Styela clava: one gene and its partner. The protein of the gene in region 1 interacts with the protein of each later gene in a pairwise test. Links are inferred from orthologs where the notes say so. Each region holds a gene or a part of one and is shown on either strand. Other genes may lie near its edges. The genes, in order: U6 snRNA-associated Sm-like protein LSm8 and U6 snRNA-associated Sm-like protein LSm2.

Evidence for each region.
Region 2: the proteins of U6 snRNA-associated Sm-like protein LSm8 (region 1) and U6 snRNA-associated Sm-like protein LSm2 interact in a two-hybrid assay, tested with the Drosophila melanogaster proteins (2 studies listed by BioGRID). The link is inferred for Styela clava from reciprocal best matches to the Drosophila melanogaster genes CG2021 and CG10418.

What each region holds. Positions count from the first base shown.
Region 1 is NC_135263.1:8,561,585-8,567,765, reverse strand, and holds U6 snRNA-associated Sm-like protein LSm8, read left to right. Parts: upstream 1-4,116; 5' UTR 4,117-4,244; coding exon 4,245-4,275; intron 4,276-4,491; coding exon 4,492-4,660; intron 4,661-5,144; coding exon 5,145-5,235; 3' UTR 5,236-5,411; downstream 5,412-6,181. Other genes in the region: centrosomal protein of 89 kDa-like, read left to right, coding at 1-15, 244-413, 912-1,008; transforming growth factor beta regulator 1-like, read right to left, coding at 1,837-2,781; N(6)-adenosine-methyltransferase catalytic subunit METTL3-like, read right to left, coding at 5,412-5,532, 5,612-5,724, 5,801-5,866, 6,056-6,164.
Region 2 is NC_135250.1:9,209,782-9,216,458, forward strand, and holds U6 snRNA-associated Sm-like protein LSm2, read left to right. Parts: upstream 1-4,573; 5' UTR 4,574-4,712; coding exon 4,713-5,000; 3' UTR 5,001-6,098; downstream 6,099-6,677. Other genes in the region: protein D2-like, read left to right, coding at 675-691, 773-802, 1,206-1,583, 1,723-1,901; ufm1-specific protease 1-like, read left to right, coding at 6,154-6,677.

The DNA of each region.
Region 1 (6,181 bases):
GAACAAACTGTAAAGGTATAACAGTCTTACCCAGCTTTTATGAATAATATTTAATGTTGAAGAAAGACAAGATTTAAAAATTAGATTGGAAGTCTTTTAAAGTTTCCATATTACTGTAATGACTCCATTGATGAATGCACATTGTATGTCAGTTTCCACTTGATAATCGTATAGAACATTTAAATTCGAAGCCCAACCATTCAATAATTGATTAAGCCTTATAACTCATCTTTTACCAATTAGCAATACAAAAAGCAAGCTTCTAATCAGATGAACAATATTACGGACAAGATTAGAGGTTTAGAAGAAAGTCATCAAGGAAGATTGCAAGAATATCACAGAGAAATGTCACATCTAAGAAGATTGTTACAACAAAAACAAGCAATGTTGGATGATGTTACCCATGAAAAGAGGTGAATTGTGATTTGAAAGCTCGTTCTGGTTGATCATTGAGAAACTTTCTTTTCCAATGTACAAATTAAGATTACGGGGTACACGAGGCAGGGTGCGCTTTTATGGCCATGCTCATCCTGGTATAGTTTCTCCTATTTATCCTGGCACTGAGGAAAAGCTGGTAAGGTAATTAAATAATCATATGACAAAACACAGCCTCTCATCTGGTTACCAGTCCATGTCGAGTATGGTAGTAGTCGACCAGTAATTTGTTTCAGATTACGGACTTGATGGTGGACGGGTCCACGCTGGGTAATTAGAGGTGCTATTCAAGTGTATTTCTAACACATAGTACAATGCCAACCGCGGAGCCAAATACTGAATAATGTGGAAATACAAATGTAGAATATATAATTTGAATGTTTTCTCTTCTTGATGCTAATTCAGCCTGATTGTACTTTGCTTCTTAACCTAAATGTGGTTCATTCTTGTAGTTGAACCTTTATTTGAACTTACAGATTGATGGAAAATGAATTGGAAAATGTATGGCAAGCAGCAACATCTGAGAATCGTAGAATTATGGATTCATTTTACAAAAGTAAAGTTCTGGACTGAAATCTTCATCATATATATTTTTTTACTTTTCATGCAGTACTTTTTTTTAACATTACACATCACTGGGGTTTTCTTACCATTTTTAAAGTAGCAAAATCTATTTGGCGTATTCGCAAAATCTATATTCATTCAAATACTTTTTCATATTCCCAAAGTTGCACATGCTGTAGTCATGCACTTACTCCTTGCCTGGAATCGTGAAATAAATAAAATGGCTTGTAATTAAATTCATAAATCCTCAATGTTGTGTCGAAATATTTCCCACATAGCGAATATCCAACCAATATAGTGATAGATGATGCTTATTTGGTTTTTTAAATTTTCAAACTTCTTGCTGCAGTATGAGATTTTATATTTTAATACTGTGAATAGTTTAAATATTTGTATTTGCACTGACACTTTCGTTTATATTAAATATTGCTCTAATTTGTTTTCTAGAAAACATGCTTTTATTATCTGTATATTGAATCATTCATTATTGACTTCCAACACAATAGGCGCATTTTTTAGTCTACAGTCCCACGACTATATGAAAGTACAAAATGTTCAGGTCAATTTTATTTTAGAATTGTGCAAAAAAGTAAAAAAAAGTGGTGTGGTGAAAGTTTGAGCAGAGAGTTGTAGTCAACAGTAATTTGTACAGCCTTGTAAAATTATTAGCTGTCACCCCACAACACAGAGGACTGCTATTAAGAGCAAAATTTGAAACTGCCTGCAATATTTTATAGCGACATAAAGAATGTATGCTATTCTTCCTCATTTGTCAAATATTTTCACAAATGTTTTCGACAAAACGGAAACCAATAAAGATTAAAAAACTATTTTATGCTATGACAAATCCCTTGCCCATTTCTCCAAAGCCTCTATATTAATATCAGATTGTCTTGATCTGCTTTTCCCAGTTTTCACCAAATCAGCGTTAAGGTTTTGATGACCAGCGACAGCCTGAGATGATTTGGCAGGTCGCACTACTTCAAATTTTTTCCATTCATACCCCGAGCATTCACTTGCACCAGGCAAACTTTGAATAAGGTTTTGTATAATGGGATGAGAAAGTCCGAAGAAATCATACTCACTCAAAGTGAGATTGTCAGGATTTTGAGGAGCAGCAGCTAACAAAAAAGAAGCGTAAACTTCTGATATTGATTGGCTTAAGAATGTTATTTCTGGTGCATCTTCCGGAGATATCTCAAATCTTGGACTTATGCTGTCATCAAATATTTTACATGTGTACAGACACTCGCTTTCTGGAGAAGAAATGCTGTTAAAAGATCTCGTTGAACAATAACCAACAGGGAAGATGAATTTTCTGTTATGATAATTGGGTCGATCATGAACGATTTCACCTATACTGTACACAGATAAATCCCCAATCTCAATGGGAAAAATTGGCCGGCCATTATTATCCACTTGAATAGGGTTCACCATTGTACATTTTGCTTTTTGTTGACCTGTTTTCGTTGTACCTTCACCAAATGTTTTTGAAGATTTTTTTACTTTTGTGTTTGCTGTTTTCTGAGATTTATTTCCCTTGGATGATTTCAAAGAATTAAGATTTGGTTTTTCATATTGCATAAGCTTTTTTAAAAGATATTTCCTTTCGGCTTTCACAGTGGAAATCTTGTCTTCAGTTCTTGCAATTTCTTCACACAAAGCACCATTCTGGTGCACAATTTCTATCACTGTTTTTCTCAATCGTTTGTACTTTTTTCGGTAATACTCATCATTTTTTTTAGTAGAATCACCCACATTTTCACTCATAATTTTATCCATGTCTTGATGAATAAAATAGAAAATATGTTATTAATTACTAAATTCAGAAAAAGGTATGATTTTCAGGGTCTCGTGTAGTTTCGTACTTCTAGTGGGCATAGCATAACGATTTATGCACATGTCAATCTTAACCCCCACCAAACTCAGCCATCCAAAAATTATGTCACAATCATGTCATAGAGCTTGCCAAAGTATACCTACGATCGCCCAAAATGGTATCTGCGCCAACGATAAAGAAATCAGCGATCGCTCTCATATAGTTATATCGGGATCGATGCGACGAGATAAATGGCTTGCTCGATTTCGGGTGATCGTTTGTGTGTCATAATTTTCAGATGACATAGTCAGGTGTGGTTCAAAAATGACTACCGGTACCGTATGCCACGCCAACTAGAAGCACTTGACGGCGTTTAATGAACTAGTGCCGAAGATTCTATATTAAGACTGCATTCCATCCATAGAAATCTGCACCACTTTTTAATTCACATCCACACAATGTTGCAATGCATTCGGACTTTCACTGATTACAGAACGCTGAAAATACCAACCCAACAAAACAAGGCGAGCTAACAACAGACCAACATCTGCAAAATGATTTTATGTTTATTTTCGGTATGTAATTTGACCTTTTAAACACGGGTCACCACGCACGATAGACGCTTTCCGTAATATCAAAATATGTTATTTCACATAGATATATCTGAATTTGCACAATATTATTTATAATGAATACTATATATATCTAGGCATATTGTTCACCTCCAGCAACATTGCCAAAGTATGGACCTTTCCCCGACTTTTAACCCCTGGAAAATTCTTCCTATACTTTACCATTGCAAAATTTCCGAGGCTATTTTAGGAGTGCTTTTGCGAGTTGGCGCTTGTAAAATGGAGTAGGTGTTTTAAACCATCATTATGATTCATCGCATACAACGATTTGTTTTTTTAAAGTACCGGTAAAGAATTTCAGGCTAGTCTATCACAGCTATTTCTAAACTAATTTTTATTACTGCAATTTAATTAAAACTCCTAGGAAGACAGAGTGATCATTGAATTATCTGATTTATATTTAAGTTTCCGAAACACAACTGAAAACTAACGAATAGAGTTCAAAAACGCGAAAACGAGGTAATGTTTACAACCGCGCTTGAAAATCTGTCTGAGTGAGAAAAGTGTCTGAGCGAATGCGAAAAGGGGGCATTGTTACGTCACTTTTTGCATCTTGCTGATTGGCCAATGTCACAAAGTAAACAAGGAAGTCGATGCTCGGGGAAAGGTCCATTCCTCAGGTGGGCATCAAATTTCGTTTCGTGTAAAATAAATCTCTCTCCCTCTCACAGGCCACTACAGTATATCGAAATCGTGCGTTTCGGTGCTACAGTCAGACAGTGTGGCGCGTTGTGTGAATCTTCTAGCCGAGCAATCCTATTTCGACTGATCTGAGCACATTGGACAGCGGCGTCATGGCGATGGCGCTTGAGCCTCTTGTGAATCGTATCCTTTGAAAATGCAATTGAATAGAAGATCATAAAACATTTCAATCGTCAAGATAGCTTTACAGTGACAAAAGTCACTTAACTTTATATGTATTTCGATAGACAGTTCGTTTTGTTTAGATCTTCAGTTTTAATTAGTACGGTATGTATAAGTGCCAGGAATATATAGTTCAAGGTAATTCTGTAAAAATTTTCCTTAATACAAACTTATTAGATGTTGTGTCTGTGATCACTGGCGATGGAAGAATGATAGTTGGAACTTTGAAGGGATTTGATCAGACTGTCAACATTATTCTTGATGAGAGTCATGAAAGAGTGTTTTCATCATCACAAGGTGTCGAACAAGTCATGCTTGGACTATACATTATTCGAGGAGACAATGTGTGAGTTGCTTTACTATGTAATCTGCAAATACTTGTATAAGAAATATATAAATCTAAATTATTTTTACCAACGTGCCCTTTCGAGTACAACTAGCCTTTTATTCATTGGGAAGGTCCTATTCAGATCTGCATTGAAAAGCGAAGCCAATATTATTTAATATTTGCAAGCGTTTCAAGCCCTTTTTTTATCCAAGTTTGAACAGGAATCTAAATAATATTTTAGAACGAGAGATCATTTGGTATTTACAATTTTCATATATAGGTAGAGGAATTATTGGTTGTATGAACTTATTTGCTGCCAAGTCGTCTTCAGAGCAAAATCATGACTAGAAAAGTATTGTGATTTTCATGCAAATATTACTGCTACTTAAAAACTAATTTTAGCAGCCATTGCATCAATTTCAGTTCAGTTGGATATTTATGGGCAGTTTCTTCTAATATCCTTCCACTATACATGTATTAAAACCAAGCTCACTTTTTGCAGTGCTCTCGTCGGAGAAATAGACGATGCTACAGACTCCTCACTGGACCTGGCAAACATAAAAGCTGCACCTTTGAATGCTGTTGTTCATTGACAAAACCTAAAAGGGATCCAGACCATAGATGGATTGCTGCTGTATTAGATAAATTCTTTCCTCCACCTCCGCATAATTCTGATCTTGATCATAAAGAACATCTGTGATTGCGGAAATTCTAATGAACTGAAATCTATAGGCAGTGCGTTTATTTTTTATTATTTTTAAATAAAGTGTCAATTAGAAGATTTGGTTGCAGGCTTTGTGACTTTCCCATCTGGATACTTCTGCTTAAATTTTCCAACAACGTCTGGTTCGACCAAGTGCACTCCATCGAGTTGGTTTCCCAGTGTTACCCTGTAGCAAGAACAGATAATAAAGATCATACAGTTTAGAAATGCTTATAAAGAAAGGTGCATGCATCGAGGATAATTACCAGTTTGGCTGTACATTGTGCATCCTGCCGAATAATTCCAATTTTCTTGTGCCAGGAGAAAGCCTTTCTATAATACCATAGATTTCATCTGGTTTGTGACTGGTGTCTCTTACCTACAACGAATATAAAGATATAATTGTAACCTTCAAACATATTGCCGAGTTCTGTTTTAAAGAATTGCAAATTTACCTCTGCCACAAGTACATCACAGTCCAACCCTGTATTGATGCCTTTAGGGTTTCCTTTTATGCCGACCTGCAGGAAGAAAAATTTTAAAAATAAAATACCTTGAAGAAAAAACGTTTAATAGACTCAAATCAGAAAAAAATTCAGCAGTCATATTTGATAACGGGTTTTATATGAAATCACAGGCAGATATTCCAACACCGAGTTTTACACAAGCAGAAGTTGCTTGGACTTTTACGCTCTGCGCTGAAGACATACCAGACAATGCTCTTTTCCGTGATTTATCCAATGACCTGTTCTTCCAGTTCGTATTAATCTTTGAAGTTGATTGGTTTTTACCCAAATGAGTTCATCACATCTCTGGTATCTGTACAATTATGAATC
Region 2 (6,677 bases), on another chromosome or scaffold:
ACCTCTTACTACTCTGCGTGCGTTCGCAGGTTCGAATCCCATGCAGGGATGGTTATGTGCGAGAGGATTGCTGGACTCCTCGCCGTCATTGGGTGGTTCACGTAACCGCTGGTCGGTTACGGCTTCCTCCACCACCAAGTCCATGATTCCGAAAACAAACAATACAGTAAAACTAATCCCATACCCGACTTGGAATGGTAACCGGACGAGAGGCCGTGGTTCGCCATATGGTTAAGCCGTCTTATCGGCTTTCCTCTCCCCCGGGATAAATATGTAAATCCTATCCTATCCTATGTTTATTGACTTGGCTGTATATGTACGTTAGTGGCTGTATATGTATATTACGTTACCCGTCATATCGATTTATATTCATTGACTTATTTAATTTTGCGTAATTTCAGATATCAAAAAAATGTGATTATTGTAAATCTGCTGCAACAGGAAATTATAGTCTGGCATTTTGTATATGCACAAGAATGCATAGAAATAAAAACATATTTCACTGTTGCAAATAACAGAACACAAGAGTCAATTACATATGTTCGTTTATATTTAAAATTTATATTTATTTGGGTTTCGAAATGTAAACAGTCATTTTTATAAGAATTGCAGAAAAAGCAACCATTTTGTTCACGCATTTGTACTAAATAATTATATTTCTTATATTTTTACAGTTGCTACGGACATGAATGTGAGTATATTAGATAATTTGTTAACTTAATTTATTAACTGATGGATAGTTCATCTATTTATTGATTGATTTTATTAACAGCTTGGATGTCAGATATGTTTATCAATGATTGTAAGTTGGTAAAATTGTGTTTGTAGTTCATTGTTCTCCAATCTGAAATTTGAGACAATTATTGGATCATTATCTTTACATTTCCTAAGCAATGGTGTTGTGATAGCGCACTTGAATTAATGAATTTCAACACACTGATAATTCACTTTTAAAGTGACTTACCTATACTGTATAAAAATATTAATTCGTCGCGTGATATTTGTATTGATATTAAAATATGAGTAGTAATGTAGTATTTGAATAGTTTTTCATTAGAGGAGTAATTGCTTTACATTTATTCAAACAAAAATCATTAACCATGGTAGCACTGAAAATTGTAGAAACTTAAATAATAGGAAATGTATAATGCATTACATTGCGTTGATTTAGAGCAACATTAAGTTCTCTCCATTTTTCAATTTAGTTATCGGTGATGATTTTTCCCAAGTACTTGCGGAAACTGATACATTCAGCCAAGATTGGATACAGCATGATCTAAAATCTGATTTAAATCTTAATACACCATGCGAGCAGACAGAAGTGTCTTTTGGAAGCATAGATGTCAAAAAAGGGGGAACGAAATTGACACCAACACAAGTAAAGTTTGCACCTACAGTCAAATGGACTGCGGAGAAAGATCAATTTTATACCCTGTTAATGATGGACCTAGATGCTCCTAGTCGGAAAAATCCAACATTTCGCGAATGGTTTCACTGGGGCGTCATCAATATCCCAGAGAATAACGTAAACGAAGGAGAAGTAATCACCACATACATGGGATCTACGCCTCCCAAAGGAACAGGTATTATCCATAGATATGATTCTCCATAGTGAGATTAAATAAACTTCTTTTGCATAAATACTGCAGTATTTTTGGAAAAATTTTGAACATAGAACAGCTAAAAATCATATTTTAATTATATATATTGTGTCACTTTTAGGCCCACACCGTTACGTCATATTAGTTTTCCAACAATCGGACAAAATAAAGTTTATGGACGAGAAAATAGGCCCAAATGGCGGATTCAGAGGTGGCCAAAGTGCAAAGAAGATAGCCGAAAAATACGGCCTCGGATCACCAGTAGCTGGCACATGGTTTGAAGCTGAATGGGAAGGATAGAATCTACTACAGTTGCACTTGTATAGTTAGTTCGAAAAGAGGCTGAGAAAGTTTTAATTGGTTCTGGTCTTCGTAGCTATAAAATTTTTGTAGTACTTAAACAACACATGGTGTATTATTATTGATTCTATCGCGCAGATAGCAAAACATATTACAAAGCTTCCACCATTGTTGAAAATTGCCGAAAATTTACATAGCCTACTTTTTCAAATAGTTTAAAGATATTTTTGGTGTGTATAATAAATATATCTAACACGATTTTGCATGGGTGCAAATGTTCGTGATTAGAAATGTATCTGGGTGCAAACGTGCGTAATTTGTATGGGGGTGCTAAAATCTAAGGTGCAAATGTATGGGTACAATTGCCCATGGGTGCGGAATTGTGCGGCAGTAAAGAAAGGCACAAAACATTTTATTCTTTTATTTGTTTTATTCTCAACTCTCCAATGAAGGCCGGGAACACGTCACAAATCGGTCGATACAAAGAAGCATTGCTACGACTCGTTGCTTGTTGTGATAAATCATAATCAGGAAATAGAGAAAATTACCTATTCATTGAATTTACACATAATTAATAAAAAGTATTGATTGAGGCGATAAATCTTAGTTACATTCCCCATTCGCTGAATTTGTTTTCAATTCCCAACATTGTGTAACCATAAATACCTTTGCATGCAGTCGATACGATATATATACTGGAGATACGGTGGATATCAATAGTAGCTTACAACTTTTATATAAAAACACAATAGCTTTCAATAGTTATATCCATAGATCACAAAGTTTGGTTCTGCCAACTCAATATCTTAGATTTGATTTTTTGAACAGCTTTTCAAATGAAAATGTTCGTGGTATTTTACTCAATGACAAAGTAAGATTGATCATAACAGTTTCATTGTTTTTTGAACACGCTTTTCACAAATATATTTCGCATTTGTATCGCACCGGATATCGTTTATGTTTCGGTTTTTTGAAAGTAAGAAGAGCGATTTGTCCTCTATTGATCTAGGTAGGTGCTTTGGTCGTTTGCGCGAACCGTAAATAGTTTACTTTGTTATCGTGTTTAGCTTATAAATGAGGCCAGATAGCAATTATTCGAATTAAAAATATATATATTAATACAAACATACATGACAAAAAGTTCACACGTGGTAAGGTCAGAAAAGAGCAATTGTAACTATTTTAAGTCCAATGCTTTCGTTTCCTGGTTGGTGTTTTGAAATTAAGAAAAAGCAATTCGTCTTCTACTGATAACCCTTCAGGTCGTTTGCGCGAATCCACAAAGTAATTCAGTCTTGTTATCACCAGAGCTAGCAAACATTGAAAGGTCGACGCGTGAAAAACTTTCACCTAAATGTCTGATGCATTTTTTTTTCAAATTTAATGTATTTGTTAAGAGGCTTCTTTCTACTTTTCGATCGTGGTCTTCTGGCATATGAATTTTCATTTTCTGAAAATTGTTTCGAATTAGTCATTCATTTTATATGCTGTTGCACCTCAATGAGTTCTGTTTTTTTTTGTCAAATATTCCCAGAGATTAAATAGGATATGTTTGACAAAGCGTTACAAATAATAAAAACGAACATAATATCGTAACACGTCATAAGCAGAAAATCATATTAACATAATACACCAACTATGTACGTCGTACGGATAGAAACTTACATCTAAATATTTGAATCTGTGTTTTAATACCCCGAGAAAATGAATTTATTTGTTATTGATGTTAATAAAAACATGTTTCTGAAAACTTGGTTTCTACGAAATTCATTATTAGAAAATTGGGAAAAATTAACTTTGTTCTCATAAATTTACATCAAATTAGGGTAAATCGTTTATTTGTTGTTGCTATATATTTTCCCATTATTCTGTTATTGTAAGGTTTTTTATATTCTTCTTCAAATTTTCTGTTGATTTCATATAAAAATGTTATTATGATGTCGAGTGTTGAGTCGAGCATCTACCGGAGACTGATTTTATTTTTATGTTTATTGCCGTTTAGTTTATTATTTATTTTATAAACCTCTTGCTGCTAACAGCGTTTGTAAATTTTTTAGAGTAATCTTTCTTGAAATATACGCACATACATTGCAAGAAAGAAAATCATGCATTTTTGCGTTTATTGTTTCTATAATAAAATTTTAATTTTTTACATTTCGTAGGACGTACAACGCGCTGACTGTTGAGTCGTGTAAACTGTAAATGACACCCGAGTTAGATAGTTTGTTTGTTGTGTGACGAAGAGTCTTCATACCGGTACATATTTCTTCATCATAATTATCAAGTTAACGTCTTAATTGATATTACGCATACCGGCGTATCGTTACTTTTGATCCGGTTAACCGACAGAATTTCAGTTCCGGATTATCCAACAACCACGATGAAGCGCCAGAAAATGCCTACAGTGATAGAAATATAGACCTTGTCTGTTAATGTACCAATATTTAAACTTATTTAGCTATGGTGGGCTGGTGTGATTGGTGCTGTAGTGAGATAGTATATCTGTATATGATATACGAATACCAATGACTTGGATGAATATTACAAGTTGGAACCAGAATGCAAAATTTTTCACAGCTGCTGGGCTATCTGGCTATGGTCCGACTCCGAGGGAAGTTATCTATAAAACTGATATTTACTACAGTATTATCATATTTCTAATTTCAGAAATTACAGTTAGGCTAGACTACTTATATACTATATAAAAATCTTTGAACTGTTTATTTATTGACATACGGTAGCAAAGTGCTGCCTGGTCAGTAAGATAAACTTATTACAGTATTAATACAGAATCTCATTTTGATAGGAATCATGTTATTCTACTCATTTTTTAAATCACTTGTGGGAAAAGACGTTGTTGTGGAACTGAAGAATGATTTAAGTATATGTGGAACTTTACATTCAGTGGATCAATATCTGAATATCAAATTAACAGACATAAGTGTAACAGATCCAGAAAAATATCCACATATGTTATCTGTGAAAAATTGTTTTATAAGAGGGTCAGTTGTTCGATATGTGCAACTTCCAGCTGATGAGGTCGACACAACACTACTTCAAGACGCAGCAAGAAAAGAAGCTGCGCAAAGCAAACAATGAGAGACATTTATGGTGCAATTTAGTGTGAATGAAATTTAAACTAGCGCATTTCACATGATAGAATATTGCATACATTGAGAATGTCTCGAGTATTGACAAAATATCTCATTATCAATACTGAGTCAAATTATGGACAGTACTTACACTCATGAACTATCTGTTCCAAAGTTATTAATATATTGAAAATCGATGCTCTATGTTGCAGTATCACTATTTGAAAATTATGCTATCTAAAATTTGTCTTATTTCTCACCACTGAGACGAGACAAAAAAATGACCAAACTTGAATTTTAGTTATGTGAACAATAAATATTCTGCTATTTACATTACCTAAAGCATATGCCAGTGTGGCATAAAATAGGGATGGCGATGTGGTTTTATTTATTGTCTTTCTTGTTTCACTAAACCCGGAAAAATTGGTCAGGAATTTTTTGAAGAATATTTCCTGAACTCCAAATTTAGTAGCAGTTTTGAAGTGTATTTATCTCTGAGAAAATAAAATCATGAATTTGCATCACAATTCTGTCATAGTATCCTACAATGTTCACATAAATTGACATCTCAGTGTTTGATTCATACCAAGTTCAGAAAGCAGTGAATATCTTGCAACAAATATGTCTGGCGTTAAGAGCCTCATTATTTTAATTCACCATTGTAATTGGTAAAAGGTGAATAAGAGCATAGTCAAAATCTAAATGTATGTTTTGTATCTCAAAATACAGTTATCAAAATCTATTTTATCGGTTGAAATTTCAGGGAGAATTCATTAACATATTCAATCGAAAATTTATGACATGATTAGAAGGTAATTTTTGATAGTCAATACAAAGCTGATTGCTCTATCTTCTTGATATACATTACTGTGACCCAAAAATTCATTGCAGTTTTTCATTATCTCTTTCCACCAATAAGAATCATGTTTTTACCATTTATGCTGCTTTTATCTGGCATGTTTTGCATCAACCTACACTGACAAATTGATGAATTTTTTTGGTTTTGTATGTTAGTGATTGTTGCCATTTCATCCACATGAACCATATTTCAATCATAACAATTTCGTGCCAATTTTCGTACCTAATACTGCTTTGAACTATTTAGGTCTTGTGATTTCATATTTTAGTATGCTGAATCTGATTGATAAATTTGAATAGCCATGAGCATGTCACCGGTCAAATCAACAAAATTCCCTGATGAATTACCCCATGATATCCACCGTGATTTATTGAATGAGTCTTTGGAGAATTGTAAAGTTGAAGCGGTCAAAGGCACATATGCGTATTATCATTATTTATGTGATGGAGTAGACGACAGAGGATGGGGTTGTGGTTACAGAACTCTACAGACTATGTGCAGTTGGATACATTATCATAAACAGAAAAACAGGACAAAAAGTAAAAATGAAACCACAAACAATGACAAAATTTATGATAAAATTACAGGACATGTACCATCTATATCAGAGGTTCAGCATGCATTGGTTTCAATGGGTGATAAGGAGCATTCATTTATGGGGTCAAAAGAGTGGATTGGTTCTTTCGAAATATCAATATGCATAGATTATGTGTATGACGTACCCTGTAGAATTGTGCATGTTCCCCAAGGGCAACTTGTGAATCACATACAAAGTATAAACGAACATTTTCAAAAGTATGGCAGTCCTATTATGATGGGTGGAGA